Rattus norvegicus: one gene and its partner. The protein of the gene in region 2 interacts with the protein of the main gene of each other region in a pairwise test. Links are inferred from orthologs where the notes say so. Each region holds a gene or a part of one and is shown on either strand. Other genes may lie near its edges. The genes, in order: Lsmem1 and Lsmem2.

The links.
Region 1: the proteins of Lsmem2 (region 2) and Lsmem1 interact in binary tests that used the Homo sapiens proteins (3 or more experiments, as listed by UniProt). The two-hybrid records come from large-scale screens. The link is inferred for Rattus norvegicus from reciprocal best matches to the Homo sapiens genes LSMEM2 and LSMEM1.

The regions. Positions count from the first base shown.
Region 1 is NC_086024.1:62,979,765-62,996,017, forward strand, and holds the start of Lsmem1 (leucine-rich single-pass membrane protein 1), read right to left. Parts: upstream 8,987-16,253; 5' UTR 8,685-8,986; intron 5,352-8,684; 5' UTR 5,347-5,351; coding exon 5,220-5,346; intron 3,643-5,219; coding exon 3,514-3,642; intron 1-3,513.
Region 2 is NC_086026.1:117,141,029-117,157,281, forward strand, and holds Lsmem2 (leucine-rich single-pass membrane protein 2), read right to left. Parts: upstream 8,273-16,253; 5' UTR 7,959-8,272; coding exon of another isoform or gene 7,937-7,958; intron 5,514-7,936; 5' UTR 5,411-5,513; coding exon 5,182-5,410; intron 5,094-5,181; coding exon 4,983-5,093; intron 4,911-4,982; coding exon 4,725-4,910; intron 4,571-4,724; coding exon 4,437-4,570; 3' UTR 3,470-4,436; downstream 1-3,469. Other genes in the region: Ifrd2 (interferon-related developmental regulator 2), read left to right, coding at 841-960, 1,048-1,132, 1,239-1,363, 1,446-1,603, 1,740-1,790, 1,876-2,054, 2,142-2,247, 2,563-2,700 and 3 more; Sema3b (semaphorin-3B precursor), read right to left, coding at 9,699-10,103, 10,536-10,675, 10,764-10,819, 10,925-11,082, 11,306-11,347, 11,430-11,521, 11,876-12,095, 12,393-12,537 and 8 more.

The DNA of each region.
Region 1 (16,253 bases), on a different chromosome or scaffold from region 2:
CCCCAGGCATCCGAGAAGCCCAGAAAGGAACGGAAGAGTTGCCTAGCTAGTGAACTATGCTTAAGACCTGCTAGTGCCGGGCTAGACCACTCCTGGCAATGCCAGACGACTCTGGCTGAGAAGGGTGTGCCAGGGGCTGTCAGTGTGTCTGATTAGTTCGTTAGGAGTGATTGTCACATTGTCTTATTTCCAGGCCCTTTCTTAGAAATACCTTTCGCTTGTTATCCAGAAAATGATATTCTGTTGATTCCAGCATCAATCTGTGCCTCCATACATATGAACACACACACACATACACACACACACCACACACACACACCACACACACACACACCACACACACACACACACACACCACACACCACACACGTACACACACACACATATAAACACGCACACACACACACACACACACACACACACACACAATAATGAAATTAATACATCTGGCCTAGGGTGCTTGTATGATAAAAATATACTTTTTTTTTTTTTTTGATGCAGGGTCTCGTTGTGTATCTCAGGTTGGTCTTGAACTCATGCTCTCTGTCTCTGTCTGCCAAACTTTGGAATTACAAGTATGTGCCACCCCAATCGGCATGAAGACACTCTTATTTCCTCGCCTCATTTTTTCCTGTTCTTACTCAATATGATCCTGTCCTCAATAGAACACACTTATGCATTCAAGGCATTCATACACATAAAGCAGTAAGCCTTTTGAAAAACAGTGTCATTCGTGTTCTGCCTTGTGCTGTACGCCAGAGCCCCTGAGTCCTGAAGGGTTCTTATTAGCTGCGTCAGCTTGAGCACATGAGGCTCCATTTTCATCAATAGTCAACTCAAGATAACGCTAGAGCCTACCCAGGCAAGGTAATGTCATCCTGCAATCCCAGCAACTCAGAAGGCTGAGGCAGGAGGATCACAACCTTATCTGCCTAACTGGGTTACTCAGTGAGTTTAAGGCGATTGAGTGAGTATGTCTCAAAATAAAAGGTAAAAGGGACACTAGCAATCCATCTTTGTGGTATGAAAGTCACCTAATATGCACAAAGCCCCAGGTTCACACCTCGGCACTATATTTAAAAAAACTTTTTAGATCCTATACTACACAGTTTTTGGAAGGTTTCTGGCAGACAGCCTAGGACTACACACCTCACATGTGACACTTGCTATTGTCATTTCTCTTATCTTTCCCTGTATCCTACAGAAGAGAGGGCTACCTCAGATTGCTCAGTTATCCATAGGCAATCTAAACTATCGTGCTAGTTTCACTGGGTCATTACCTGAAGTTAGGCCTGGCAGGGTAACAGGCAGGTCATTCATTTATTCTCCGCTAACATGTCAACATTTCAGAATCAGAACCTAGATCTCTTTCCCAACTGTGGGTTAGGTAGGTGGCTGACCCTCCCACGTTGACGGCTAGCTACAAGTTGGCATTTGCTGCAAAGATAATTCACCTACTGCCTCTAAGCGGAATGGGACAGAATCTTGGAGGAAAAGAAGCTATCAAACGTCATTCTTTGTTCTGTGGCTTCTCCCGGGGAGCTGTGAGCAAAATGCCTTTTTACCCCCTCCAAGGCACATAGAACATCACTGAAGAGATGTAAAGAAGAAAGAGAAGAAGAAGAAAATACCGGGCAGCAGTGCACAGCTTTCATCCCAGCACTCAGGAGGCAGAAGCAGGTGGATCTCTGCGAGTTCAAGGCCAGTCTGGTCTACAGATGGAGTTCCAGGACAGCCACAGCTACACAGAGAAACCCTTGAGGAGAACGAGGAGGAGGAGGGGGAGAGGAGGAGGGGGAGAGGAGGAGGGGGAGAGGAGGAGGGGGAAGAGGAGGAGGGGGAAGAGGAGGAGGAAGAGGAGGAGGAGAAGACAGGGCTTGAGAGATACACTCGCTGCTCTTTCAGATGACCAGAGTTCCATTCCCAGCACTCACGTTGTGCCCTCCCATCTGTAAAAGTTAAAGTCTGCATCCTGGTGATGCAAACTGCCTTTGAGGCACTTGTGCTTGGCTCACATTGGCGGCATCGTTTGGAAAGGCTGAGAGGATGGAGCCTTATCAGAGGAGTTGCATTGCTGGGGATAGGTGCTGATGTCTGTGGTGAAAGACTTGTCTCTCAGCTTCCTGCTCCTGCCACCACGCGTGTTGCTTGCCGCCATGCCTCCCCAGCATCATGGGCAAACTCTCCTCTCTTTAAGTTGCCCTTTGCTGTGTGTTTTTATCACAGCAACAGAAAAGTTACTCATATACCTTTAATGCATATAAACAATCCCAATAAATCCCTTGGTTCACCAAGCTGGGTTTGAATATAGTCATTTCTTTTGATTTGTCTGGCCAAGATGAATAGACATTTTCTTTCATGTCTCACGGGTAAGGTCATACACTATCCCTTCTCACAAGCTCACCTCAAACACCCAAAGGGGTCATATTATCGTCAACACCACCACCTCCTCTACTCCTAAATGAACTTAAGTAAGAAACACTGGGAAGACGTGCGGTTACATTTCTTATTTAGAACTGCTGAAGGCAAGACGGGAGTGGTGACACATGCCTATACTCCCAGAACTCAGGAGGCTGGGACAAGAGGATCTCAAAGTCAAGGCTAGCCAAGGCTAGCCTGACCTGTGTATTAAGATCCTGCTTCAAAAAGAGAAAACTTGTCAGATGCCAAAAGCATGAAAAGTCAGAAGAAACGACAAGACGGAAGACTCAAAATGGTGTCAAAGATAACACCCTCCCTATCCCCGGCTCCGGGTAGCATTCTGTAGTATGAAAGAATATAGCAATAATTACTGATAATAGTAAAAAAAAATAGTCATCTAAGAGAGAACTGTGGTAGCTCTGATGGAGAAGAATACAAACACACACACATCACACTTCAGGTAGATAGTTCCTCTTCTGATATCCAGACAGAACAGTGACATGATCAGCTTAGGGGTCTCTAGTCTGAGGAGCAGGTATGGGAAAACCTCTGTGTCATCAATTAAGGGTGACATGTATTGCCCAGGCCAAGAGTAGACAGGGCCAAAGCTAGCTGGCATCAAACAGGGCAGAAGTAACCCACCCTCAAAACCCCAGTTTGCACTAGCCATTAGTGTGAGCCCTTGCTACTCCAAACAGACCTCTGGGAGATATGCAAATGAGGAAAGATGAGGGGGTGTTAAAACCTCAGGAAACTGTGTGTTATATATCTAAATGTGATGAAGATATTTATGTGTTGAATAAAGAAAACTAAAATTAAGTAGGACACATTGCATATAATTTGGTAGCAGAGGCTCCGGGTGACAAATTAAAAGCTTACATAAATATTTAACATAAATGTAACCTGGTACTGCGGGAGCATGCCCTGGACTTGTAGCCAAGGACCCAGTCCAGGAGCAATGAACTGCCCTTAAGACACTGGGTCTCCCACTGGCTTCTTCTGGAAATTCTGATGGCTAGACTGCGCTAACTCCAGAAGCGACAGCTATAAAGGATGCACACACAATTAGAGACAGACTTATTAAGTACTTACTTATTAGGAAGATGGAGAAGAAGACCAGAGCCAGGCTGACCATCAACACCAGGAGCAGCCCCACAAAAAACATACCCTGCCTTCCATTTCTGGGAGTTGTGCCAGTGTTTGGGATTTTCTCCTCTAAAGCTGATGGGAAACAAAGTGACACAATCTCAGCATCTCACAGAGATGTGATGAACACACCCATTTCCATTTTCCCTGAAAGTGACGTCTGCATTAGGAATGTCTTTGGATGGGCAATTTTGGGGCTGTTTACCTTCTCTGTTGGGATTCAAAAAATGAGTAGGCTTGAGCTATGACCTTGAACCTGTTGGGAAGATTATTTGAAAACTGTTTGCTGTGGAGTAGAAGGGCACGAATTATTCTTTGGAGGAGGAATAGAAAATGGATGAGGCTGTACTGGCCATCTCCTAGGTAACTTAAACAGAGCTAGGTGTGATGCCTTCCCTGAGTGGACGAGCAAAAGCTGTGTGGTGTATCCCAGGAAGCTGCTTTTATTATCAGAATAACCTCTTAGGTCTATATCCATTGACAAAAGAGCCCCTGGGGTATTTGGTTTCTTGAAGCTATTTCCAAGATAGATCTGCTCTAGAAGTCAGGCTCTTCTCAATGCTTTGGGCCGGGAATTGTCTCTCACCAGGTGCTTTGTAATCCTCAGGTGCCTAAAAACACACAGGTAGCCTTGAATAAGAGGCGGAAACCCCTGGGGTATAGCAAGCGCCAATACACATATTCTGCTCCTCCCTGAATTGTCCCCACAGGTTATGCTGCGTGATTATCTAACCAAGTGCATCCCATGTTCCGGCCTGTCAACAGCTGCTGTTTCCTAACCCACGCCACACCACAGCTGACACCACACACCCCCATACTAAAAACAGGCCAGGATCTGAACAATGACAAAAGGAAGAACCCTGAAGAGACAAGAATGGAAATAGCAGCTATAGAACCGGACGGTAAGTGTAGAGTGTTCATGAAGGAAGTGGCAAATAGCCCATCCGTGCCTGTGTTTGAATAGTCGTCAGTTAAGCTAGAAAAGATGGGGTCCAGAGGGCCCAAAAGGCCTGGTTTCTAGCGCTTAGAGAGCCAGACACACTGTGTATTTTGGAGGTTTTAGGTTTGCTCTCGTGTCTCTTCCAGTACTTAATTGGACAATTTGTAATTGATAAGTAGAGAAGGGAGTTGACTTTTTGCACAACAGAATTTTAATGATTTTGAAAATAAATCGATGAATGTGTTGAGCATTTTCCTCAGTAATCTCTGATAAAAACAACACCCCTGGGATGCAGAGATTATATAAACCTAACTAACCGTGCTCACACAGAGGCCCAACAGCCGAGAGGGACTGAGCAATACCTGTACCCAGTAAGAAAACACCATAGCTTCTTCCTCAAAAGTTTTAAAGGGGAAAAACAGGACATGGAGCAGGGTCTTCCTATACAGGCAGGCTACCAGGAACTACCTACGCTAGCCCAGGCTGGCCTTACACTTACGATCCTCCTGCCTCGTGCTCCAAGAATAGGACGAACCACTATGCCTAGCTTCTCACAGGAATTGTGATGAGTTCAGCCCTTGCTGAGAAAGTCAGTGATGCTTTGACAGATTGGGGGCCCAAAATCAAAACTGCTAAATGAGAAACAACATTTCCAGTGCGCCCTTGATGTTTTTAGAAAGTCCCAAAGCCATGCTTCCAGGTTCACACATACAGAATAGATGCTGTGATTCCGTCGGACAGAGATTGAGTTTGTTTAAGTCGTTTATGGAATCCACGACATAGAGTTTTCCTTCTTCATGGACGTCATGAGATCCAGCATCCTGAGAGGAATGAGTCATTGTGCCTGGAAGAAAGCACCAACATTAGGAAGAAGAGGCTGGGCTGGGAGCTGCGTAAGCCAGAACGGGAAGAAGCTGGATAGGCTCATGAGTTACCATAGCCCATCCACAAATGCTGGGCTAGAGGAGAGACACGCTGTGTTGGACAATGCTGGCTATTCCTTTGCCTCTGCTTGCCTGAATCAAGTGTGTGGTTAGGACACAGCCACTCATACCCTGTAACCCTCTTCTCTCCTCCTCCGCTTGTCCACTTCTATCTTCTTTCCTCTGGGTCTGTATTTTGTTTCATAATTGCCTCTCAAAATGTTTTCTCCCCATGGTTGCTAGTTTAATATGCTTCAAGTCCTCTGTACAAAAACACAAGCTAGTCAACAAAATGACCGTAAAACAGACAAATATTTAACTATGAGTCCTTCTAATTTCCTAATTTCACACAGACACACCACACACACACACACACACACACACACACACACACACACACTCTAACATACTAAGAAATTCTGGATCATTGAAAGATGTAAAAAGGCTTCCAAGACATATATTTAATGACTAAGGAAGTTCTTTTTCTCTTCATAAGGTGAGTCAGTGGTGATATGAAGTCTGGTGTCTAAAAGGCTAAAATTTTAGAAAGACAAGGTAGGGGCACCTGTGTCTGGTGGCTTATAACCATCTGTAACTCCAGCTCTGGGGGCTCCAACTCCTTCTTCTGGCCTTTTTAGGCACCCGCACTCACATGCACACACTTAGACACAAGGATACTTAATTGAAATAATCCTCAGAAAGAGGAGGCAGCAGTAAATGGGCCTGTCTATATAGGTGGCCACAGATTTGTTCCTGATAACCATTCTCTGAAGAGATTTCTCTTAAGACCCAACCATAGAGTTCGAAGAAACCAAATGGAGAAGACTACTAATCTAACCATAGAAAATCTGGGGGAAAGCATCACATCCTTCCTGAACTCCTTAAACTATACTATCAACCAAAAGCCTCACGGCTAGAGACATGGCTCAGCCATTAGGAAAGCCTGATGCTCTATTAGAGGCCTTGAATTTGGTTGGTTTCTAGCACTCACGTCAGGCGCTCACAACCACCTTTAACTCCAGTTCCAAGGAATCCGACCTCCTCCTCAAGCCTCTGAGAGCGCCTACTGCGCATGCTCGGCGGAGGGGTGGAGGGGTGGAGGGTTTCTAAGTAGCACCCACAAATTTAGTGGCACTTGTGTTAAACATATTCATAGATTCCTAGCTGAGAAACACTGTAAGATCAGAAAATCATGCACTGGGTTTTTTTTTTCTTCATAAATCCAAACTGTGTGTTTTCATTATCCTGAAATTTTAATTGGAAAGAACGCATGGATGGAGTTATTACTATAAAACACTTTAAATATTGAAATTATTGAATTTCAAATATGCTGCATGGAGCAGTCCGAAGAGAATGACTTGACATGATACAGTTTAAAAACAACACCAGCAGCAGCTGTGAGGGAAAGGGTCTTAGCGAGCAAACCATACCCCTTGGAAGATAAGCCACGCTCTCAAAGTGCTGTCGGACACCTAGACACTGGGCTCTAAAGCACTCTTCCAGAAGTGCTTTCTGTTTCATCACCCCCTTGTACTTCATTATCCCAAACACTATTGTTGTTTTGTACGGGGGTGACCAGGGAAAGAAAGCTGTATGTGTCACGTGGTAGGATCACTGTTGCAAACACAGCTTCTATTTTGGGCGTGGTAACTGAGACAGTTCATTTCTGAATCTGACTTAATATCCGTTTCCCCCTCAGGAATGTCACTAGTGTTGCAGAGAAGGGAGGGGAGGGGAGAGGAAGGGAGGGGAGGGGAGAGGAGGGAAGGGAAGAGGAGGGGAGAGGAGGAGCCGGGAGAGGAGAGGAAAGGAGAGAACTAGTTACAAAGTAGAAAACTAGCTACAAAAGTCATTGCTAAAAAGTCCTGCTTTCCTGACCTCATAGGTAGCAATGAATATCCTAGTAAGAGCACCAGTGGAAGGGGAAGCCCTGGGTCCTGCTAAGACTGAACCCCCAGTGAACTAGACTGTGGGGGGGGGCGGCAATGGGGGGAGGGTTGGGAGGGGAACACCCATAAGGAAGGGGAGGGGGGAGGGGGATGTTTGCCTGGAAACCGGGAAAGGGAATAACACTCGAAATGTATATAAGAAATACTCAAGTTAATAAAAAAAAGAAAAAAAAGAAAAAAAATTGAAAAAAGTCCTGCTTTCAAAGTAGTAGTCCAGTTAATAAACTTTTCTTGCCGCAGACTAAGAAGGTGATGCCAGGAAATCTAAGGGACGGAGACATGGCACTAAGCCTGGAAGACTGAACTTAATCTCCTTCACTTTCTGTTCAATGAGAACCGACTCCTGCAACTTTTCCTCTGACCTCCACACAAGCGTTGTAGCGTGAACATGCCCCTCCCACCCACGTAATTAGAATAAAATCCGTAGTAAAATTTGTTCAAGATTTTTCCTAAATCTAAGATAAAACAAGTAAACAATGGAGTGCTCTGAAAAACATGTTTACAGTGAGCTCACACCGTGGATGTTTTTTCAATAAACCTTTTCAATATTGCAACATGTTAAAATGAAAGACAAACTAGTAGAGAGAAAAAAACAGGGGCCCCCATGGCCCCCGAGAACCTGCAGGTGGCTTGCCAGGGACTCTGCCAGGAAATGGACACAAGGACACGTCTTGAAAACCAGAACCCACTGCTGTTGACACCAGCGGTTGCTATCTTTGGCAGCTGAAATGAGGCCATCCGGGAACAACCACCAAGGCCCGTGAAGAGTGTCACTAGCCATTCCGTGTCCGCCTAGCTCGGCCTTCCTGCCCAACTCCACTGTGTAGATCAGCCTGTTCCCAAACGGCCAAGGCAGCATCCTTTGGATGGAACCATTTCTGATCCTGGAACTGAGACACGTAAGTAGCTTCATTTCCCCGTGCTCCCGATCACTGCTAACAGCTGAGCGTTTATCATTTAATAATTGCTTGATTTTTCTACACTTCAACAAATTGTCCCTGAAAAAACTCGTTCCACACCGCCCCCACCCCCAGAATAACCCACACCATACTGTATGTTACCAACTCAAACTTGTTTACCAGTGAAGGCTGAATTCAAAGCTTAATGAGACACCTCCCTGAGTGAGTCATGGCCATTTATGAGCAGCATTCCTAAGTTCATGCTTCAGTGGGGAGGTAATTTTTAAAATCAAGTCTACATCTTTGCAGTCAGCAGTTGAAAAGCACCGAACACAGGCAATGAAAGTCCCGATGACTCAAGAATCAACATTCTGCCTCAGTAAGGAATAGCATGCGAATTACTTACGAAGACGTGATCCTGGACTGCTCAGTTATCCGGAAACGACAACTATTCAGGAACAACAACAGCAAAACTTTCTACCAATTCTGTAGTGTGTTCTTGATCTCCCTGCTGCTCACGAGTGCTCCCCTGAGGCCCATAAACCCAGCACATAATTGGTAGTCTATATTTAGTGTAAATTTAGTCAAGAGCTGCAAGATTCCCTGCACTGGCTTCCCCTATAATGTCTAAGAGTTTTAGATATGCATCGCTGAAACTTGGCTTTAAAACAACAAACCAGCAAGCCTTGATTTCGGTTGGTAACTGTTGTGGTTCTTATTAAGCTAGAAGTCCTTATTCAGTGGACGTGGCTGTATCAGCTGACAACACATTCCTAGCACTTCTGCAGGGGTGTGCTCCTGGGTATAAATACCCCGCAGGAGGCAGGAGCTACCACGGGGACAGCTGGTGTGCAGGGACTCCAGACCAAGCAAAGATCTCAGTAAACAGCGAGGATAGTTGTGATAATACAACTAGCAGAATGGCTGGTGTGTTCCATTTCCATTCCTGTATCAAAGTATCCAAAACAGGTCAGCTTTATAGAGAGTAAAGGTTTATACTAGCCCACCATTTTAGACCTCTGGCCTAGGCTTGAAGCAATAGAAAACATGGTAGTGGCTACAGCTGAAAGAGGAGGCTTGGTCTCATGAAGCCAAGAAGCGATGGAAAGAAAAGGTCGATGACTTGTCTTCAAACAAGCCTCACACCTAACGGTCTACCATCTTCCACTGGTTCTAGGCTGGTGACCAAGAAAGCCTTCTACACCTTTCTTTAGGGAGACTTTAGAGACGTAAACTATAGCAGCAGGCCCGGGGACTCCTGGGCCTTCAATTAGCTACAAAAAGTGTTTGTGAGTGCAAAGATTGCACACTTCAGCATTCTTTCCAAAATTATCTCTTCTTTTTTTTTTTTTTATCTTTATTAACTTGAGTATTTCTTATTTACATTTCGATTGTTATTCCTCTTCCCGGTTTCTGGGCCAACATCCCCCAACCCCTCCCCCTCCCCTTCTATATGGGCTTCCCCTCCCAATCCACCCCCCATTACCATCCTCCCCCCAACAATCACGTTCACTGGGGGTTCAGTCTTAGCAGGACCCAGGGCTTCCCCTTCCACTGGTGATCTTACTAGGATATTCATTGCTACCCATGAGGTCAGAGTCCAGGGTCAGTCCATGTATAGTCTTTAGGTAGTGGCTTAGTCCCTGGAAGCTCTGGTCGGTTAGCATTGTTGTTCATATGGGGTCTCAAGGCCTTTCAAGCTCTTTCAGCCCTTTCTCTGATTCCTTCAACGGGGGTCCTGTTCTCAGTTCAGTGGTTTGCTGCTGGCATTCGCCTCTGTATTTGCTGTATTCTGGCTGTGTCTCTCAGGAGAGATCTACATCTGGTTCCTGTCAGCCTGCACTTCTTTGCTTCATCCATCTTATCTAGTTTGGTGGCTGCATATGTATGGGCCACATGTGGGGCAGGCTCTGAATGGGTGTTCCTTCTGCCTCTGTTCTAAACTTTGCCTCCCTATTCCCTGCCAAGGGTATTCTTGTTCCCCTTTTAAAGAAGGAGTGAAGCATTTGCATTTTGGTCATCCTTCTTGAGTTTCATGTGTTCTGTGCATCTAGGGTAATTCAAGCATTTGGACTAATAGCCACTTATCAATGAGTGCATACCATGTGTGTTTTTCTGTGATTGGGTTACCTCACTCAGGATATTTTTCAGTTCCATCCATTTGCCTATGAATTTCATAAAGTCATTGTTTTTGATAGCTGAGTAATATTCCATTGTGTAGATGTGCCACATTTTCTGTATCCATTCCTCTGTTGAAGGGCATCTGGGTTCTTTCCAGCTTCCGGCTATTATAAATAAGGCTCTTGCTTCAGTTTTGATCACTGTTTTCTCCTTCCCAACTTTATAATCTTCAAGTACTAGTCCTCCAGAACTGGGAAACAGCCTAAGTACTCCAAGGCCAGAGGATAAAGTGGCAGAGATGAAACAACTCCACACATCTATCCCATCACACCTGTCTGAAGGGGCCTGGCTTTAGTTGAACTCCTAGACAATGACTTGAGTAAGATATGACAGCTCTCTCAGTATCTGAAGGTGCTTTAAATTTTGAATCAGTAGAAACAGAAATTGTCTATCGTGGGTCTTTGCACTTCCTTTCAAATGTCCCTCATGTTATTCAGTCAATTCCCAGGAAAGCCAATAAATGCCTTCACAGAGTTGAGTCACCTGTTGTTGACTGCTTCAAAATTAATTCTTGTGCCACAGCAATCTGGCTGAGAATCAGTGGTTGGCTGGCTGGCCAACCACAGAGCCCTTCACTACCTTCAACTCAATTCTTAAACACCAGGTTCTCAGCAATCTTTACCAGCAGAAGTTACTCAATGGTTTCTTTTTTTTTTTTTTTAAGATTTATTTATTTATTTTATGTACAGCATTCTGCCTGCATATGTGACTGCAGGCCAGAAGAGGGCACCAGATCTCATTACAGATGGTTGTGAGCCACCATGTGGTTGCTGGGAATTGAACTCATGACCTCTGAAAGAGCAGTCAGTGCTCTTAACCGCTGAGCCATCTCTCCAGCCCTACTCAATGGTTTCTTAAGGTTCCCATCTTTGTAGACTCAAGCATGGGTTAAGTGCTCTTATTTCTCATCCCTCAAACCCTAGTTTAAAAAAAAAAAAAAAGCATAGGAATATGCCACAAGATGAAAATAGGAATAAATACCAGAGTTCAATAAATGTGATGGGAAACTGAGGTGCCTGGATTTGCAGGCACTAATTCTGCAACCCACTAATGATGCAGAATTAGGCTCAGAGCTAGGACATAAGAGTTAAGTATAGGGGCTGGAGAGATGGTTCAGTGGTTAGGAACACTGACTGCCCTTCCAGAGGTCCTGAGTTCAATACCCAGCAACCACATGGTGGCTCACAACCATCTGTAATGCGATCCGATGCCCTCTTCTGGTGTGTCTGAAAACAGCTACAGTGTACTCATATAAATAAAATAAATAAATCTTTTTTTAAAAAAAGAGTTAAGTATGGACTAAATCAAACTGAAGCATTTGTCAAACAATGGTCCACTGAAAAGGAGATGGAGATGCCTTATCCCTTGGCTTAGTGTTGACCAAGGGATTTTAAGGCTCAGGGAAATTGCAATGCTAGAGTGGATACATTGTGTAAAACCTAGTCCTCCACAGTGGGAAGGCCCAGAAGATATATACCCTTCACGAATTCTATAAGATGCAAACTGGTGAGAGGAGCATCAGCACACTTGAATGGATCTGTTCTTGCCCTTTTCCTTGTGCCAGACCTTAGGGTTGGAGATGCTGCTGCTCAACTGGATGAATTAAATGCAATGGGTTTAATTGGGCCCTGAGGTAACAAGGGCTAGGTGGCAGCATTGAATCACCAGAGACAAGGTGATCGAGGTTATTATAATGGACATCGTAGACAAAATGTTTATGACATAGCCCGTAATGGCCAGCACAGGAAAGGTGAAATTTATAATGGCATGACTTGTTTGGACCTTTGGTACTGGCTAATCAGTCATGGTGTCTCCAGGCATGAAATTGATAAAAGTCTACTGCTTATTTGTTTGATCTGTGTAAGCAGAAAAATTCTCAAACCAATGAAAGAAAGGCTACATTGGATCATGGCAAAAGGCAATCTCAGCCAGTGAATCAGTTTCCAGACTTGAGCCAGTTTGCAGACCCAGAACTTCTTGAATGAAGGGGTGGCCAGGTTCCCCGGAGGAAGGATCTTGATTAAGACATCTGAAAGTTTTGCTGTTAGCCTTTCTCCAGTTCCCCCCCAGAGGGACCTACGGCCTTTTACAAGGGTAACTGTACACTGGAAAGGGAAATAATCAGACTTTCTGGGGTCTATTGGATACTGTTTCTAAATTGACACTAATCCCAGGAGACCCCAAGAAACATTGTGGTCCTCCAGTTAAAGTAGGGCATGCACAGCAGCAGTCTATTATCAAATGGAACTGATACATGATCAGGCCTAAGCAGGTCCTGAAGGCACAAGTAAGTTACATGAAGAAGTTGCTCAAATGCCTATGGTCACTACTCCTGTTATAATGCCATCTGCTGCCAAGCATGCGCCTATAACCTCATGGGGTGTTCCCTATGATCGGCTGACTGAAGAACAGAAGAGTAGGACCTGGTTTACTGACGGCTCTGCACCTTACGCCAGCACTACCAGAAGTGGACAGCTGCAGCTTTACAACCCCTTTCTGGGACAACCCTGAAAGACACAGGTGAAGGAAAATCTTCACAGTGGGCAGAACTTAAGGCAGTACACACGGTATTACAGTTTGTTTGGACGAAGAAATGGCCAGACGTACAATTGTTCACTGACTCATAGGCTGTAGCCAATGGATTGGCTGGATGGTCAGGGACTTGGAAAGATCATGGTTGGAAAATTGGTAAGAAAGACATCTGAGAAAGATGTGGATAAATCTCTCCAAATGGGCAAAGGATGTGAAGATATTTGTGTCCCGTGTAAATCTTCATCAAAAGGTGACTTCAGCTGAGGAGGAAGGAGTTCTATAATCAAGTGGATAAAATGTCCCATTTTGTGGACAGTCAGCCTCTTTCCCCAGCTATCCCTGTCATTGCTCAATGGACACATGAATAAAGTGGCCATGGTGGCCGAGATGGAGGTTATGCTTGGGGTCAACAACAGGGACTTCCAATCACCAAGGTTGACCTGACTACAGCTGCTGCTGAATGCCAGATCTGCCAACAGCAGAGACCAACACTGAGTCCCAGATTTGGCACCATTCCTCGAGGTGACCAGCCAGCAACCTGGTGGCAGGTTGACTACATTGAACCACTTCCTCTGTGGAAAGAACGTTTTGTTCTTACTGGAGTAGATACTTATTCTGGTTATGGATTTGCCTTTCCTGCACGTAATACTTTGGCCAAAACCACCATCCATGGACTTAACAGAATAATGCCTTATCTATCGTCATGGTATTCCACACAGTATTGCTTCTGACCTAGGAACTCATTTCACAGCTAGAGAAGTGTGACAGTGGGCCCATGATCATGGAATCCACTGGTTTTACCATGTTCCCCATCATCCCAAAGCAGGTGGTCTGATAGAAAGATAGAATGGCCTTTTGAAGACGCATTTACGGCGCCAATTAGGTGGGAGCAGCATGGAGGGCTGGGGAAAAGTTCTTCAGAAGGCAGTATATGCTTTGAACCAGTGTCTGATATATGGTCCAGTTTCTCCCACAGCCAGAATTCATGGGTCCAGGAATCAAGGGGTGGAAAAGGAAATAGTTCCACTCACTATCACTCCTAGTGACCCTCTAGGAAAATTTTTGCTCCCTGTCCCTACAACTCTAGGTTCTGCTGGCCTAGAAGTTTTGATTCCAGACAGGGGAGTGTTCCTACTAGGAGCCGAAACAAACATTCCATTGAACTGCAAGCTCAGACTTCCCCTGATCATTTTAGACTTCTAATGCCCTTAAACCAACAGGCTAAGAAAGCAGTGTTAGGAGGGGGTGATAGATCCAGATTACCATGGGGAAGTTGGATTGCCTCTCCACAATGGAGGTAAGAAGGATTGTCCAGAGTGCAGGAGATTCCTTAGGGCGTCTCTTGGTACTACCATGTCCTGTGATTAAAGTCAGTGGGAAACTACAACAGCCTAATGCAAGCAGGACGGCAAAGGACACAACACAGACTCATCAGGAATGAAGGTATGGGCCACTCCTCCAGGAAAAGAGCCAAGACCTGCTGAGGGGCTTGCAGAAGGCAGAGGAAGTACAGACTGGGTAGTAGAGGAAGGTAGTTATAAATACCAGCTAAGTCACATAACCAGTTGCAGAAATGAGGATTATAAATATGAATGCTTCTTCTGTTTTGTTAAGAGCATGTTTGTCTTTCTCCCAATTTAATATCAACTGGTATTTAAGCTTTGATACTAAAAGAGTGTTCCCAAGGGACATTGTGCCATTGTAAATTTACAAATGCACTTGTGATTGTACGAGGAAGTTATTTCATGTTAGGTGTATTCATGACCTTGTTATCGTTTCATGTGGACATGAGATATTAGTGTCAAGTTGACAAGGGGTGGATTGTAGTGGCTATTCCTGGGCTGTCAACTTGACTCTATCTGGAATGAACTACAATCCAGAATTGGAAGGCTCACCTTTGATCCTGAGCTTGAGGCTGGGAGATACAAGTTTCTAACCTGGATCTTGAGGCAAATTGGCTATGAATCCCAGGAGATTAAGGCAAGGCGATCTCTGATCACCTGGGACAAAGCAAGTCCCAGACCCAGGCACTGTGGCACACAACTTTAATCTGGGACACACCTTCTGCTGGAGATTTACATAAGGACACTGGAAGAAGGAAGTTTCTCCTTTTGCCTGCCTGTTTGCCTTGTGGGACTGAGCAACCACTAGATCCTTGGACTTCCATTCACAGCTACTGATCACTGTTGGGGAGTTGGTCTACAGACTGTAAGTCATCAACCAATTCTCTTACTATTTAGAGACTACCCAAAAGTTCTATGACTCTAGAGAACCCTAAGACAATGTTCTACACAGAAATTTGCAAACCAAACTTTTGGGCTGGAGAGAAGGCTCAGTGATTAAGAGCACTGACTACACTTCCAGAGGTCCTGAGTTCAATTCCTAGCAACCACATGGAGGCTCACAACCATCTGTAATGGGATCTGATGCCCTCTTCTGGTGTGTCTGAAGACAGCTATCGTGTACTCACATAAACAAACAAGCCTTTAAAAAGAAAAATCAATCTTTCAGTTAAGACCTTAAAACAACTGACCCTTTCTGTATTCATTCCTATGGAACTACAGGTATGTCACCTAAGACAAGAGGTGTGAACTTGGATTTGAAAATAAATCCAAAGGATAACCTCAACGTTTCAAGAAAAACAGTTGTACACTTGGGTGAAACTAATTTATACTGAACTGATACATAAAGAACCAAATTTTAGAAATTTCTTTAGTTAGGAAAGAATTGGTGGCAAGCATCTAGTGTATGTGTATAAAAGTCCAAGTAAATACCACTTTACAGCAAACGTTTCCCCCAAATAAACTGACGTGTGATCTCTTCACCTGTTAAGTTAAACAATGCCTTAAAAATAGTAAACCAAGAAATTGCTATCAGTGTATAAACAGAAATGTGAATGGTAGGCAGGAAACACCCAAAAAAGGGACTGATGGAAGAGAAAAGAGGGCTTTAGAAGCCTTGAGGTAAACTGTGATAAAAACTCATTAAAACATATACACAAAGCTAGGGGTAAAATGCTTTTCTGGAAAGTGCAAGTATTGATTTTGATACTCAGAAACCACATATCAACCTGGCCACTCAGTTATGGAGAGGTTGAAACAGGATCCATTTCCAGAGAAAGATAGAGGGTTCCTGAGAAGTTAGCACTCGTAGGTGGACACATTTAACAAATACATACTCAAAACTGAAAATACAAGGGCAATGTTTCCAGTGTTAGCCTACATGAAACGAAGGTAACAAAGCCAACTGTAGGCTGCAGTGT
Region 2 (16,253 bases):
TGGACCAAAGGAAGCTCAGAAAACAATGTATTTGAAGCACAAGGTGCCCAAGCACATCCACTAGGACCTGGGCCAGAGTTGATAGCATAGTGAGTGTGATGGCTTGTGGCAGAGCCATTTCGAGTTACTTGACTTTATTTGCTACACCTGAGAGGTGTACTTTGCTGTCCATACTTTAAAGGCTGGGCAACTCATCAAATTATACCTCTGCTAAAAACGAGGAGGGGGAGGGGTGCTAATAGTGCAGCCCAACGGAGTTCACCAGACCTTGGCTCAGTTTAAACCCCTGTCTGTCTGGTACTATAACCTGAGCCCTAACCCTTGCACTGTCTTAACCTTTTGACCGTACCCTAGAGTGGGCCACAGGCCTCGCTGGGACTCATCCCAGTCCCCTCTGCCACTATGTGGTTCCTGCTGTCCTTAAAGCAGACTGTGCCCACCAACCAGTGTTAGCACACACCTTTAATCCTAGCACTGGAGAGGCAGAGGCAGGTGAATCTCTGTGAGTTCGAGGCCAGCCTGGTCTACAGAGCTAGTTCTAAGACAGCCAGAGCTACAGGAAGAAACCCTGTCTAGGGGTTGGTGAGGGGGGAGCTGGGCCCTCCTGGGGTCCCCCCTCACAGAGTCTTTCAGGTTGTCCCCGGGTAGGCCTAGCTCCTGTGTCCTCTAGCAGATAGACTTTCTTCCCTTTCTCCTGCTTCCTAATTCAAGTCATAGGTACCAGGCCTTGGTTTGCATCTTCTCTGAGATGGGATAGCATTCATGAAGTTAAGTGAGGTACCCTGAGTCATCCCTCACCAGTGGAAACTGCTCAGATAGGGACTTCTTTATGTTCCCCAGGTGCCAGGAGCTGTACTCAAGCTGACTCGGGTTCCAGTGAGGACGACGCGGCCAGCGAGGCCCGGAGCACCACCAGTGAATGTCCCAGCCTTCTCAGCACCGCCGCAGAAGACTGCCTGGGTGAGAGCAGGTTGAAGTTTGGCAGGGGCTCGAGGACGGCTCCACTGGACAAGGGCAGGATCCAGTGATGACCGACTGGCTTTGCAGGTGGGGAAGCTGTGGACGAACAGAGCCAGCAGGAAAACCTGGAGGAAAAGCTGAAGGACTATGTGGACTGCCTGACTGACAAGAGGTACCCCTGGCTGCTGGCCAACTCCTACACTTGGGGCCCCGTTCAGCCGGTGACAAATGGAACCAAGGGCTCCCGTCACCCACACGAACCCTTTTTCACCTCCCAGCGCCAAGACCCGGCAAGGAGCTCTGGAGAGCCTGCGCGTGGCCCTGGCCTCCCGCCTACTTCCAGACTTTTTGCTGGAGCGCAGCCTCACTCTGGCCGACGCCCTGGAAAAGTGCCTTAAGAAAGGTCAAGTCCTGGGCACTTGGGGAACCCTAGCTAGGCAGGTGTTGACGCTTGCTGCATGCGCTAACTGCAAAGCATCCTGTAGGGAAGGGTGAAGAACAGGCCCTGGCCGCTGCTGTACTAGGCCTGCTCTGTGTGCAGTTGGGCCCTGGACCCAAGGGCGAGGAGCTGTTCCATAGCCTGCAGCCCCTGCTAATCTCGGTGCTCAGTGACAGTACAGCAAGCCCCACTGCCCGGCTCCATGTGAGTATTTCCGTGCCCCGCCGCTGGTCCCTCATCCCCGAGCAGGGTGTCGGGTTCTCTGTCTTCAGATTCTCTACTCAATACGATGTTCCCGGTGTTGACCCACGGTGGCCTAGCTTTGTCCTCTTTCCAACAGTGTGCTTCTGCTCTTGGCTTGGGCTGCTATGTGGCTGCCACCGATGTCCAGGTAAGTGGACTTTGAACACAAGTGGTGGTGCAGCTTAGCTCCGTAGCTCTGTCTGTGAGCCACGCCTGTCTCCCTGTCCTCCTAGGACCTGGTCTCTTGCTTGGCCTGCTTGGAAGGTGTTTTCAGCTGGTCCTGTGGCACCGGCGGCTCTGCTGCTTCTCTGGTTCCTGCCAGCCTACATGGCCTGCTCTGTGCCGCCCTGCAGGCCTGGGCATTGCTGCTCACCATCTGCCCTAGTACCCACATCAACCACATCCTTGACAGGTAGGGGCTGCTGCCTCCTGGGAGCGAAAGGGAATTTGGGAAGGGACCCTCAGTCCATTCATGACGCTTAGCTTTCCCTGTCTGTAGGCAGCTGCCCCGGCTGCCCCAGCTCCTGTCCAGTGAAAGTGTGAACCTGCGGATTGCTGCTGGTGAAGCCATCGCCCTGCTCTTCGAGCTTGCCCGGGATCTCGAGGTGCGAGGGACAGGAGAAGGAGCCGGCTGGCACTGCCGACCATCCCAGGCTGTTTGCAACGCATGCCGCGGGGTGGGGTGGGGGTGGGGATATAACAGCAGTCTTGGGTCATTTGCAGGGGAGGTGACCCTAACTCTTACTCACATGCTAGTTACTGTAGTGGGGATTCTGTGTAGGGGTGAACTGCTAGGGAGAGGCTGAGGAGGGGCTAGGCAGAGAAGAGGAGAGAAGCGAGTGGAAGAAAAGCCTTGGGGAACACCTCGCTCAGTTCCAAAAGAGAAACTTCCACCCAGTGCCTCCATCGTTCCCACACAGGAGGACTTCATCTATGAGGACATGGAGGCTCTGTGTGGATCTCTGCGGACTCTCGCCACCGACAGCAATAAGTACCGTGCCAAGATTGACCGTCGACGCCAGCGCTCCATTTTCCGAGCCGTGCTGCACTTTGTTGAGGTGTGTGTGAGAACATGAGTGTCCCATAAAAATATGTCCCCGAGGGTTAGGCACCTGTAATCCCAGCACTTAGGAGACAGAGGCATGGTGGTAAATTCCAGGACAGCTAGGGCTACATAGACCCTGTCTCAACACACACACACACACACACACACACACACACACACAGGCACCAGGCATGGCAGCCAATCCCAGTAGGGCCCTCTATTCTCTAGGGCGGTGAATGTGAGGAGGAAACAATCCGCTTTGGACTGGAAGTGCTCTACATAGACAGCTGGGCTCGCCACCGCATCTACACAGCCTTCAAAGATGTGTTGGGCTCCGGCATGCACTATCACCTCCAGGTGAGGGGACACAGGGAGGGCCACCCAGCCTGACCGCTTCAGACTGGCCGTAGCTAACTGCCTTGTTTTTAGAATAATGAACTTCTCCGTGACATCTTCGGCCTGGGCCCTGTGCTGGTGCTGGATGCTGCTGCCCTGAAGGCCTGCAAGATTTCACGTTTTGAAAAGGTTTGCATCTTGGGCACCTTTATCTTGCCTTCTGTTACCCGGAGGTCTGGAGCTGTGAGTAGGCTTCCTGGGTTCACCGTGCTCCCTTCTTTGCCTCTTCGACAGCACCTGTACAATGCTGCGGCCTTCAAAGCCCGGACCAAGGCCCGGAGTCGTGCAAGGGACAAGCGGGCGGATATCTTGTGAAGTAGATTGGCCAACGAGAAGGCTACCCATACCCCTACCATATTTTTAACAGAAGACAGTGCAAGAACTGGTCCCTGCCAGTAATTGTCACTTTATTTTTTTAATAATGAAACCAAAAATAGACAAATGTGGGAGGGTCGAGGGATCAGGACACTTACGACTCAAGCCCTTTGTACGTGCACTCAGCCATGTGGCTGAGGCCTCTTCCTGTCCTGTCTCAGGTGAAACCAAATGTGTGCTGGTCCTCGTGGTGAGGGTGAGAAAGGGCTGTCCCTTGTGTCTTTTAGACCTTGCCCCCTGGGTGCTTCCTTTCAGGTCTGGCACCTGGCCACTGTGGCATTAGGGTAGGCAAAGCTGCCTAGAATGGATGCGTGTGCTGATTTATTAAAGATAAGAGATTAAGCAACACCTAGCCCCCTGTGGCCTCTCTCCTGAGTCTTTTTTTTTTTTTTTTTTTGTTTTTTTCTTTTCTTTTTTTTCGGAGCTGGGGACCGAACCCAGGGCCTTGCGCTTGCTAGGCAAGTGCTCTACCACTGAGCTAAATCCCCAACCCCTCTCTCTCCTGAGTCTTGTGCCTGCCCTCCCTCCGTCTGCCACCCCAGGTTGGCCCCGACTAGCTCTACCTCACCTTTGTCCTCCATGGCAGGACATGTAGTTCCCCAACTCAGCCTGGCTTGCCTGAGCTGAGGCTGGACCCCCTGCTAGGAGGCCTGGCAGAGTGGGTGGCTGAGCTGGGACAGCTATTTCTAGACTTCTGAACTTCCTATCTGGGGGTGACCAGAGGGTGCTGACGGGGGACCAGGAAAAGACTGGTGCTCCATCCTCTGACCTTTGGCTAACCACAGCAGGGCCTTGGCACCAAGAGCTTTGCTCAGGCCTGGCCTGAAGCGGTCAAGAGAGACAGGCAGCTGTGGAGGAACGTCAGGCTTGTGAAGAAATCTCCCCAAGGAATAGTGCAGATGAGGCCATCAGTGGGAGAACAGAGACCTGCCAGAAGTCCCTTTGTCCCCCATCACAGTCTCACATACAGATGGTATCTCAGCTGGGTGCCCGAGCCTCACTGGAGTTGAGCCTTCTTAGCTGGCTGAGGCTAGCCAGACGCAATTTGAGCAGAGTCTCCTCTTGTGTGCGCAGCGTGTGTGCCAACACCCTCAGGGATTCACTCTGCAGCACTGGGGGTGGGAAGACATTTGTGGGACCTTGTTAGACTCCATGCCTCCTCAGATCCCCACATGGCCCTGCAATGGGGTTGCCCACTGACCCATGCCCCACCCTTTGTTGCTTCATTTCCAGTTGCCCTGGGGTCCCAGTTCTGCCTGTCCCTACCACTTAGGTAGACAGCTACGATGGCTAGTGCCAGGCAGGTGAACACTAGCAGTGCCAATAGCAGAAGGAACCCCCCACGGCCACACATGGGGCTGCAAGCAGCTTGGGTGCACAGTGACGGTGGTAAGACACCCAGAAGCTCCTCCCAGGCCTGCGCCTCTTCAGCCAGACAGGGCCGTAGTGAGCCTGCAGGGAGAGCGATTCGTTGGAAAGTGGCACCCAAAGCATCCATCTTGCTCCCTCCCCGAACGCCCTTACCTCCACTGTGCAGGTCACTGATGGACTCCACTCGATGCAGATGCACCTCCTGCACGTGGTTAGGAGCCAGTGTTGGCCTGTGCCTCTGGTTCTGCATTGGCAACACAGTATCTACAGGGGCAGTGGAACAATTGGAGCAAAGAGTCCTTACTTTGTAGGCAAACTGGGGCTGTAGGGACTTGGGATATGAGGACTGCACCTGTGGCATTTGGTTCCAAATTCCCTACAGTTTCAGGAATGACTCTTAGTTTGGGTCCAGGGCTCCGTGCACAGGGTCTCTTGACAGGCTCCCAATGGCCACATTTGGGCATTTCCCCCGCTTTGCCTTGCCTGCGTATTCCTCCTGGCCTCTGTTCTGCCTTCCTGGACAGTGGTTCTGCCTCTCTTCCAGGAAGGTTGGAGTCCTGCTGTTTTGCACTCAACAGCATGGCAGGAGTCCACTCTCTCTCCACAGTTTCATGCAACTTTGAGGCCTCCTCCCCATGGCTTCCCTCTGAGGCTATCTGGGCATTTTAGGTAGTTTCCAATTCTCTGTGGAATTAACCCCCAGGACATCCATCATTAAATAAGAAGGTTTTCCCCACTTTCCTGAAAGTTACTGAGGGCATTTCTCAGAAGTTGAAATCACTGGACCCAAGAACAGAGAGTTCTCTTTGAAGCTATCATCAAAACTGTCTTCTAAAAGGCCTGTCCAGAGCCCAGCAGTACAACATCGCACCATTAGGCATCCCACTGTGGGGAAAAGTGTGTTTGTGTGCATTGTGCCTGCACAGAAGCCAGAGGTCTTGCTGACCTGGCTCGGGAGCTCAACAAACAGCCTAGGCTCACTATGGAGCCCCAGGAACTCTTAACCTCACCAGACCTGGGATCAGAAGTGTATACCCCGTGATCTGCAGTCTACCTCCCAGACTTAAAGACTGACAGACAGCATCTGATTTTTGTCTTGCTTCTGAGCATGTCATGGGGCAGCCTCACACACATCATGTCCCCGGAGAAATGAACTCAGGTCTTCATACCTGCTAGACAAATCTTTTACAGAACCATCCCCAGACCCTGTATGCACATACCTTTACCTGTATTTGCTAATTTAAGATGAGAAACAGCTTGCCTTGATTGCTGCCTGGGGAGGCTGACCACGGGTGTAATTACCATTCACAGGTTCTGCCTATGTGGTCACTGGCCACGGTTCCCTTGCGGTTATATTTCAGATTTGGTTTTGTTTTGAGATAGTGACTCACTGTGCTGTCCCAGAACTCATTGCCTAAGCTAGGATAGGCTTAAAGTCGAAATTCTCTCGCCTCAGCCTATTACTGGTATTAAATGTGCGCGTCTCTCTCTCTCTCTACCCAGCTTTGTTATGTGTTAGCGACATGTGCGTGGTGAATGCTCGCTCCCATTTAGACGCTTGCAGCTGCCCCATCTCTTACTCTCCACCTTATTCCTTGAGACGGGACTCTTCCCAAGTCCAGAAATCAGGGGGGTTTGTTTGTTTGTTTGTTTTTGACAAGGGCAGCAACCAGCAAGCTCCAGTGACCTTCCTATCTTCCTGTCCCAATACACACAGCACTGGGGTTCTAAGGCACACAAGACCACACCCAGCTTGTCGCCTGGTACTGGGATCTGAACTCAGATCTCCTGGTTACAGCAAGTGTTTTTAATTACTGAGCCATCTCGTCCTCCTCCCGCCCCCTCCCCTGTTTAAGACAGTCTCAGCAAGTTTCCAGACTGGTATTGAGTACCTGGTTAATTCATGTGATCCCTCTGCCTCAGCATTCCAACTACTACCAAAATAGTTGTGATTTCTAAATAACTATAACTATACTTTCTGCTGGTGTGTTTGTTTGCTTAATTAATTTTCAAAACAGGGACTATGTAGACCTGGCCGCCTAGAATTCAGAATATAGACCAGGCTGGCCTTGAACTCACAGAGATCTGCTTGCCTGTACCTCCTGAGTGTGTACCACCAAGGTCTTTTTTTTTTTTTTTTTTTTTTTTGGTTCTTTTTTTCGGAGCTGGGGACCGAACCCAGGGCCTTGTGCTTCCTAGGCAAGCACTCTACCACTGAGCAAAATCCCCAACCCCCCAAGGTCTTTTATTGGATGTTTGTTACTTTGTTTTGTTTTGTCTCCACTCCACAAGAGCTCCAGATGCCTGCCAGGAACCTAGGTAACAGTGTAGCAGAGAACTGGGTAAGGCTGGCTGTTGGTCCTCTGGGCCCTCCCATCTCAGGACAGTAACTCAGCCCTTTATGACATGCTTGAAGCTGCCCCTTGCCAGGCTCACAAGCAATTCAAACAAAAAACCCGAGGCTGTCAGTCCTTAAGCCCCGGCAGTAGACTCCAAGCCACATTAAACCTCCTCTTGGCTCCTCACTGTGCTTCTCCCATAACTTATATTTGGACATGTTTTATTCGCTACAGAAAAAGACACATGGTAGGTGTTACAGTTAAGTCTCCCCGTCTCCCCCCAAAAAGATAAACACCTTCCCTTAGTAGAGAGCAGGCCCTTTCTCTGCAGCATAAAATATTGAGGGGGGACAGGATGGCTCAGCAGGTAAAGGCACTTGACTAGCTAAGTGTCAGCCTTGACCAGGCTGAGAGGTGTAGGACAGCCTCTCTACCTCATAGTCCCCTGGGCCAGGTGTCCAAATGTTCCCTGGAACCAGTCTTCATCCCAATCCTGGCTTCTTCTAGAAAGGGCTGCTTAGGAGCCCCCTAGATGCCCACACTTGCTTGGGCACAGCCTACAGCTGACCTGTTCCTAAGTGGAGAGCTTTGAGCCCCTCCCTGAGCCAGGACCTTAAGTGGAGGAGCCTTAGGTATTCTTTCTCCGTACATAGGGTAGGTCCCTAGGGCTGAGGTAAGAAAAGACTGAGGGTTCTCCCCATGAAGCTAGGTCTCTCCTTGACCCATAGGACTTGAGCCCTGTCCTCCCCAGTGGCCACCCTCTCCTACCTTCTTGGATCTCCTCAGGCATGGCAGTTGGTAGGTAGTCAGAGGCCCAATGAGAGTGCCCAGTAGCAGAACTGGACAAAGGCAGCAGTGGCTTCTTTCAGATTCTAGGAGAGGCCTGGCTGCCTCCCAACCTGGTCTTGAAATAGGCCTGAGCTCACTTTCCCTGAACTATATTTAGAGAGGGCAGCTCTGAACCATGAAAAGGGGCAGAGTGACCTGGATGGGCCGGCCTAAACTACCTACTTAGTGATGGGGCTCAGCCAAGGGCAAGCCTCTGCTAGCACATGGACAGAAGGAACTTCTCGGAAAACCACACCAACTTTATACACACCCAGACTTGGGAGCCTTCATCCCAATGCTCAGCACGCACCATGCAGCATGGTAGCAAAGGAACCCTGCACAGGTCCGCTCAGCCATCCCTCTCTCTCAGACCCTTTACCCACAGACTAGCCATCTCCTCCCAGCAATTGGAGACAACCACCCACCACTGTGTGACCATCTAGTACCAGATACTGGGGGTGGTGGACTGGGTGCAACTGGAGCCCAATGCCAAGGGTCTGGCAGCTCTACAAGGGCACCCATACAGTGGTCAGACCGGGATTAGAAACTGCTATTTCTAGTATTAAACTATAACCATGGGGAAAAAGAGTGGCCTTTACTTTTCTACCTATAGAATAGGAACAAGGGTTCCTGGCCAACCGTACTGAGAATACAAATGCAGAGGAATGGCTTAAGAGTTAGACATAACGGTCTTGGCTCTTGTCTCCTCTCCATAAGGCCATGTGGAGGCCTGTTGCTCACTCTTGAAGGGTGCCGTTCCAGCTTGCAGCCTTAGTCTGTGAGTGAACTCTGTTCTGCTTCTTCACAGCTGTGCAAAGCAAGACCATGGCAGGTCTACCTTCCAAACCATTCGGAATCCATAGTGTGATACCATATCAGCCTCCTTGGTGTTCCTCAGACAGAGAGGGTTTGTCCCCCGCTCCAAGACTTTGGTCCTTCTAGTCTGGAATGTTCTGTCACTGGACATCTGTGACTGGCTCCTTTCAGCTCAAACATCACCCACTCAGTGAATTCTTAATACATTCTTGCCCACAACATCCAGTATTGTTTGTTTGTTTGTTTGTTTTGTTTGTTTGTTTTTACTTCAGAGAGCTTGGCCCTGCTGCTAATGCACTGAGCCCCAGAGGCTCATTAGAACCAGCGTAATCATCTACTAACACTTTTAATCTCCACTACAGCCTTCTTGGATGGGAAAAGTACAGGCCTTGAGACCGCTAGGACAATGTCCGAGACCCCCAGCAAGGTCTAGGACTAGCTGCTATCTGCTGGGGCCATTCCAACATCAGCTGATAATGTGTTTATTGTATTACTTTAGTACAGTTGGCCTGCCTCACCCCACACTGGACAGCCTAATCTGTTCACAGCTTTCTCCTCGATGCCCAAGAAAGAGAATGCTTTCCCCAGGGCTGCCACCCAAGACATCTCTCTGGTTCCGCTCCACTCTGGAGCCCCACTTCTTGTCCCCTCCCTCCAGGTTAGATCCTGAATTGAGCTTGGGCCACTCTTCCAGGAATACATTCACGGGTTATCTTGTTAATAAATAAGCTACACTTGGGCCAGGGTTCATGTATGGGTTAGTTGTCTCCGTTGGCCCAACGATCTCAGTGTGCCCCAGCCACAACTCATCTGTCTTCCTGGCATCTATCTGCCCCCTCTTCGGTGTGTCATATCCAGCCTGGTCCCCAGTATGGGGACAGCCGAGTCACCAGTGAGCTGCGCTACGTGGTCCACGTTCAGCACGCAGCTCAGAGACATGCATCCGCCTGTTGCGACCCTTACGACGTGAATCTGCTGCCACAGAGTGGGGCCCGGGCTGCGGGCGGCACATTCGCAGGGAGTTTGCACCTCCACCACCGCCTGGCTCCACCAGCTGCAGGAAGTCCCGGTACCAGAGTTTAGGACCTGGTGGTGCGGGAACTGCTGCCTCCTCTGCCCTCGCCAGTCGTTCAGCCTGTGCCGCACTCAGCACGTGCAGCACCAGGCGACGCAGTGGTTGTGAAAAGCCTTGTTCAACCGCGACGCACAGATACACGCCAGAGTCCTGGCGCCGCAGCCCCCGCAACAGCAGCCCCCGTGCAGTGCGCTCTACCCGCTCCTCAGCCAGCACCTATGTGTGAATGCAGGAACAGAAACAAAGGGTCATTGGAAGCCAAAGGTGGACAAAGAAAATAGGTGCTGGCACTTACTCATTTTAAAGGGTATGAGCACAGGAATAGGTAGCCTTTAGAGGATGAGTCGATCTAGGTGAGAGGGATCACTTGAGTGGGGCATGGGGTAGATTAGAAACGTCAATGCGTGGGGCCTTCTCTCTCCAGATAGTAGAGGGTGGGTCAGGAGTCTAGTTGGGCACAGTGAGGCGTCACTAGGTTGTAGAGTGCAACTAAGGACAGAATAGGATGAGACCTATGATAAGGGTATCTGAACAGGGCCTCACCGAATGGGATTTCACATAGGTAAGAGGTACAGGTCAAAGGCCTCCTTAGGCAGGGGATGGCTTCTCTTAAATGGGCCTGGTTAGGAAGGGTGGAGTGAGGCACACCTGGGTGTGAGCTGCCTCCCCTGCACGATGGAAGGTCCATTCCACATGCGCCTGGAGCGAGCGGGGCTCACACTCCAGAAACGCGCTGCCCCTCTCCACACCTAAGACCTTCCTCTCCAGCAGCACAGAGTGAGAGGGGTCTTGAGACAAAAATGTAAAAATTCAGACAAGGCAGGACTAGATGTAGCAATTTCAAGGCCTGGGGGTAGGAGCTGATGGGGTACTCACCCCCAGAGCACAGGGTGCTGGGGTTGCCATTCCTTATGTCTTGCCTCCGGAACCGCCTGAGGGAGGCATTAAAACCTATATGAGCCCTTCTCTGCTGGCAGCAGAGACTCCCTCCCAGTAGCGCAATCCAGACTCCAAGCCAATCCAGCCTCCAGACCCACCTCTTGGCAGTAGGCTGGAAGCGTGTGCAGGCTGATCCATCCCAGGCGCAGTAGGGGTCACGGGCCAAGCAGCATTCTGCGCAGGCGCGGCCTAGGGCAGGGCAGCGATGTAAAGCAATCTGGGCCACTGCGCTGGGTGATGCTATGTAGAGCTGGTGCTAAAGGGCACAAGAGTCTCCAGTCTGATTGAGGACATCCCTTACCTGGCTCCCTTCAGTCAAATAGCCATTTCCCCCCATTGGACATGTGGGAACACTGAGGTCTCATTGTCTAGCAAAAAGAAGCTAGACCTGAAACTCTGGGCTTTGAAAACCGAAGAGAAACAAGACAACTCAGGTGCTGTGGGACAAATTCAGTTCCTCCCCAAGTTGAGTTACTCACCCTTTTCGAGGAGATTTGCATGCTGGTGATAGCAGCAGAGTCCTGGAAGGGAAGCAGGGCAAATGGATCAGGGCTTAATGGCTTCAGGTGATGTGTCCTAGGGTGACTAGGGTTGAGGCCTCACCTCAAACACCTGCAGCTCTTCCAGGAGAAGTCCTTCCGAGTTAGGTCGGCTGCCCTTGGGGACTGAGATGACTTTCAGCACCGTGCCCACATCTGAAGAAAAGAAAGGAAAGAGTGACTATTGGGTTTCCCTAACGAGCCATGTGTGTATATGTGCGTGTGCGTGTGTGCATGTGTGTGTGCGTGTGTGTGTGTGTGTGTGTGTGTGCATGCATGTGTGTGTGAGTGCATGCACATGTGCTCTAGCCCTGTGCCCTCTACCTTCATCATGATTGGGTCATGAAAAAGTAACAGTTATGGGTTGAAACAATGAGGGGAGACCTCAGAAAGCGGGGCCACAGCTCAGACAAAGATGTAGATATTAGATTGACCAAGAACAACTTCTACTCTGGGCCAAGGAACCTGGAGGGGCTCTCAGTCCTGTGGGCACTGTGGTGGGACCCTGACCTGTGCCGATGAAGAGCACATCGTAGTGTCCATCGGCTGCTGCTACCCGGTCTGCAGCGATCTGGGTGAAGGTGTACCCAGCTCCCACTTGTAGGAAGAGAGGGCGCCCCCCCATGGGCAGGACTGAGTTGTACATGAGGGGGTGGTTCCGAGCAAACTGGATAACATCATCTGGGAAGTCCTTGGTGGAGCTGAAGGTGCCAAAGGTCTTGCTGGGGCACTAGAGAAGGCAAGGCACGTCAGACAGAGATACAGGGCTTTTTGTCATCAGTCCTCCATTCAAAGCCTCTGGGAATGTGAAAGGTGGGACTCGACAAAGGGGCTGAGTATCTGAGCCTTTCCCTGGTGAGCCTTAGGCTGAGGGGGCACAGCCTTCTATGATGGCGGCATTTCCCCCAACCCATACCAAAAGAAAGAAATCACACAACACCATCACTACCCCTGCCAAAACCCCCAGGCCAAGTCAAGTTCTCTACCCTTGAGACTTGCTTACTGCAGGCAGTCCCTAGCAACGTACCATGCCAGGTCTTGGGTAGGGTACCCGACCCTGGTAGGACACCCACTGATGTGTAGGCCCCTCTTTGTGAGCAAAAGGTCCCAAGAAGGCTCGGCGCACGTCGTTCATGCTGTACACGCACACAGCAGAGCCCTGGAAGATGCCACTGGAGGCAACAAGGACAGCGAAGTGAGCAACCCCAGCAGGCTCAACTGACTGCCCAAGGGAACTGCTACCTGCCCCTCACCTGGAGGTGGAGAAGACAGCATAGAGAAAAGGTGTCTGGCGGTCTCGGGAGGACAAAAGGAAAACATCCTCTGCAGAGAAAGACAAGGGAGGTGGTGGGGCCATACACATACACCTCAGGCTCCTGGACTCTGCACCCTGACTCCTCCCCTGATGTCGCCCGTCATTCAAGACACTCACGAAGTTGGTCAAAGTGGGTGTCACCCTCAACTCCAGGTACTGAGCATACAAGCCGCGCCTTCAGAAATGTGGTCCACTTGTTGACCAAGCTCCGCTGGCCACCCAGGTCATTCTGCTCACAGGATCAGAAGGGATGAGAACAAGACCATAGCAGGCAAAGGGTCAGGGGCAAAGGTAGCCAAGGGATGAATTGGCCCAATGTCTCCTTACCCGGCAGATCTGACCAACACGAGACACAGTCATGCGCCCCATTGCTGGTGCCGCTTCCACTGCGGACTCACGGAAGAAGAAATAGATTTTATCGTCATCAGGGTTCTCGCTCTCTGGGATCCAAAAGACCTTGACAAACTTGGGTTCTAGCCAAAACAGACGGCACGGTATCAGCGGGTCTTGTTCCTGGTCCTCCTCGACAAGGACACACCCCCACCCCCGCACACACACCCCGCACCCCCCCCATTACGATCAGCATCTGCAAAGCAAGAAACTGCCACGAGGGGGCAGTAGAGACCACAGCTTCGAGCGCAAGTGGGCTGCCCCCTCTCCCCTCTGCAGGAGTTCTGACCATGCCACACTTTTCCTTAATTTGCCAGGAGAAGAGGGAGATTGGGTATCTGTTTTCACCTTCATTCACAAATCTTCCTCCCTGGCAGATCAAATACTCCCTGTTCCTGCTTCAGTTCCTCCTGCTGTCTGTCACATAGTAAAGGACTCCAGACCTTGAGAGTCTGGGTTTCCTATCAATACTGGTTGTTTGAGCCTTATCATTGCTGGCTCTTGTCTCAGGGTCTTTGCACTAATCGTTTCCCTTACCTAGATGCTCATCCAATTCTTTGGCTGGGTTTCTTGTGTTCTGGAAGCTACTAATAACTCACAGCTCCTTAAAAAAATAGCTTTCCTTATTCAACCCAGACACCTTTTTCCCCTTTCTGTTCTTTCACCCTTATTTTTAAAGATCTATTTATTTATTTTATATAAGTACACTATCACTGTCTTCAGACACACCAGAAGAGGGCATCAGATCTCATTACAGATGGTTGTGAGCCACCATGTGGTTGCTGGGATTTGAACTCAGGACTTCTAGAGGAGCAGTCAGTGCCCTTAACCATTGAGCCATCTCTCCAGCCCCTCCCCTCCCCTTTTCTTTTTCTGTTCTTTCATCTTTCATGGCCACAGGAATGTATCTCATCGTGTGCTTTCTCTGAGACCCACGGACTCAGACTCTTGCCTGCCTCTGCCTCTGTGCCTGTCTCAGGTATAATAACAGATACTCGGAGAGACTTCAACAGTGCTCTCTTGCTTTCTCATTTTCTCATCTCACCTTCCCTATCGGAGGAGGGCAGTCTCCTCCCAGGGGCCCCACCAGCATCTCACCATTGAGCCAGCGGGAATCATGGGGCTCTGTTCGGAGACTCGGATTCTGACCCAAGCTTCGAAAGATGGTAAAGTCCCGGCCCATAAGGTCCGCCGCCACCCCGGAATACAGCTCTTCCCCTGCAGACAGGGCAAAGGGTTGCTCAGCCAGCTATGAGCTCTCAGAGTAAAAGTGTGTAGGGCGCTCTTGGGGGCGGGGGGGGGATGGTGCTTGGGGGGTCATGGCTATAGGGCATCTGAGGGGGTGCCCTTGGGACACATGAAGTTCTAGAACTTCTAAAGAGTTCTATTAGGTGTGAGCCTTTGGACTCACCCACCAGCACCGAGGCAGCCCGGTGCCTTGGGTCATATGGACTCTTTCCCTTGCCATCCTCGAGCTTCCTCAGGTCCAGGCGGAGCATGGGTTCCTGGGGGTAGGGCAGTTGTTAATACCAAGTTGTCTGTCACCCTTCCTGCCTCTCCTCCGTCCTGGTCTTACCTCCAGCCGGTGGCCCACCTCCACAAATGCACAGGTGGGGTGGAAGGCCCCTGTGCCGCAGGCCAGCAGGTGGGTGTGGTTGTAGGCATGCAACAGCTTCACGAAGTTCATGCACTCCGTCTGGTGGGCAGGTGGGGGTGCACTCAGGCTTTCTCCAAGGAGGCAGCCTGAGCAATTCACTAGGGGCACCCCTGCCCTTCCTCTCTTCTGCATTGGCCCAGGGAACTACTAACACAGGTTACAGGGACCTGACTGGCCTTCGTAACAACCTACCTTCACAGGGTGACTACACGTGCAAGTACACATATGCACACACCGCCCCCCATGACTCAGAGGCCCCCCCCCCCGAGAAGAATCACATGAACTCCCACCCTGACTCACCCTCTCATCAGCCTTGACCTCTCTGCCCTTACCCCAGCCATAACAGGCTAGCCTCTCTCTCAGCACCGGGATGGGGGCCCAACCCTCTTCCGCACGCTCCCCTTTGAGTAGCCCACACTCACACCAATGTCCTTCCCTGCCCAGTTGCATTCTTCACGCCATTCCACAGGGGCGGGCCAGGCCAGCTGTGGGGAGGGAACACAGGTTAGGGACTCAGGGTGCTCTTTACTTTGTGAGTTTCTCCATTCACTTGCCCACCCCTTTGAGATTCTCTAGAGTCTGGACAATCTGGATTGGGACCCTCAGGCTTTTTCCTGAGGTGGCGCTGAAGTTGAGTAAGGTTAGGGGTCCCTGGCACCTTCTTGGCTCGCTTGCTGATGTTGTCCAGGCTGAGGGAAGCCACGTGGTTCTCAGCACCCACAAACAGGCGCCCCCGCTCCTCATCCACCAGCAAGGCTTCATAACAGCAGGTCCGCTCCAGCCTGAAGGTTCGGATGCCATGCTGGGCCTGTAGTTCTGCAGGGAGAGATACCTCTCAGTACGTGACAGAAACTTCCTCAAGGCCCTGCCTGGTTGTCTATCTGCAGACCAAGGTGTGACCCAAGATGTACACATGGACACTGATGTGGATGTGAGCTTACACGTATGAAGACTGGCCCACCCAGGTGCATGTATAGAGTCTCAGGGTGGGCCGTGCATGCCCCAGAAAGGGGAAAACAGGTTTAGGAAAACGTGTGTAGACAAGTGAGCTGGTATGCGGGAAGGCCAGGCTTGTGGACACCAGGGTCCTAGGAAAGGCAAAGGAAAGATGAACTGACAGGACAGAATCCATCCCTAAAATGTCACGCTGAGGGTCCCTTCCCTGTCACCTTATCACTAGCTTGGATTTAGCAGAGTTGACCAGCAAATGCCACTCCATGCCCGGTGGGCAAGGAGTTTAAGAAAAGGACTCTCTGACAGCCCCCAAACCTGGACTTAACTACTAAAGAGTCATGGATTGCTTTGGGATGGGGGGGATGAGACGAAGGCAGGGACTGTTGCTATGGAGACAGTAGGGGTCCTCCTTGGGAAAGCATGAGCAGAATGTAGGCAGAGAGGTGGGGGGCTGAGGCTAGGACAGGGTTAACTGGAGATGGCCCAAGAATACCCGAAATCCAACAAGTAATGAGGGTACGCATACTGGCACCAGCGAGTCTTTCCATCCTGGGCCCTTTTCCTGTTCAAGC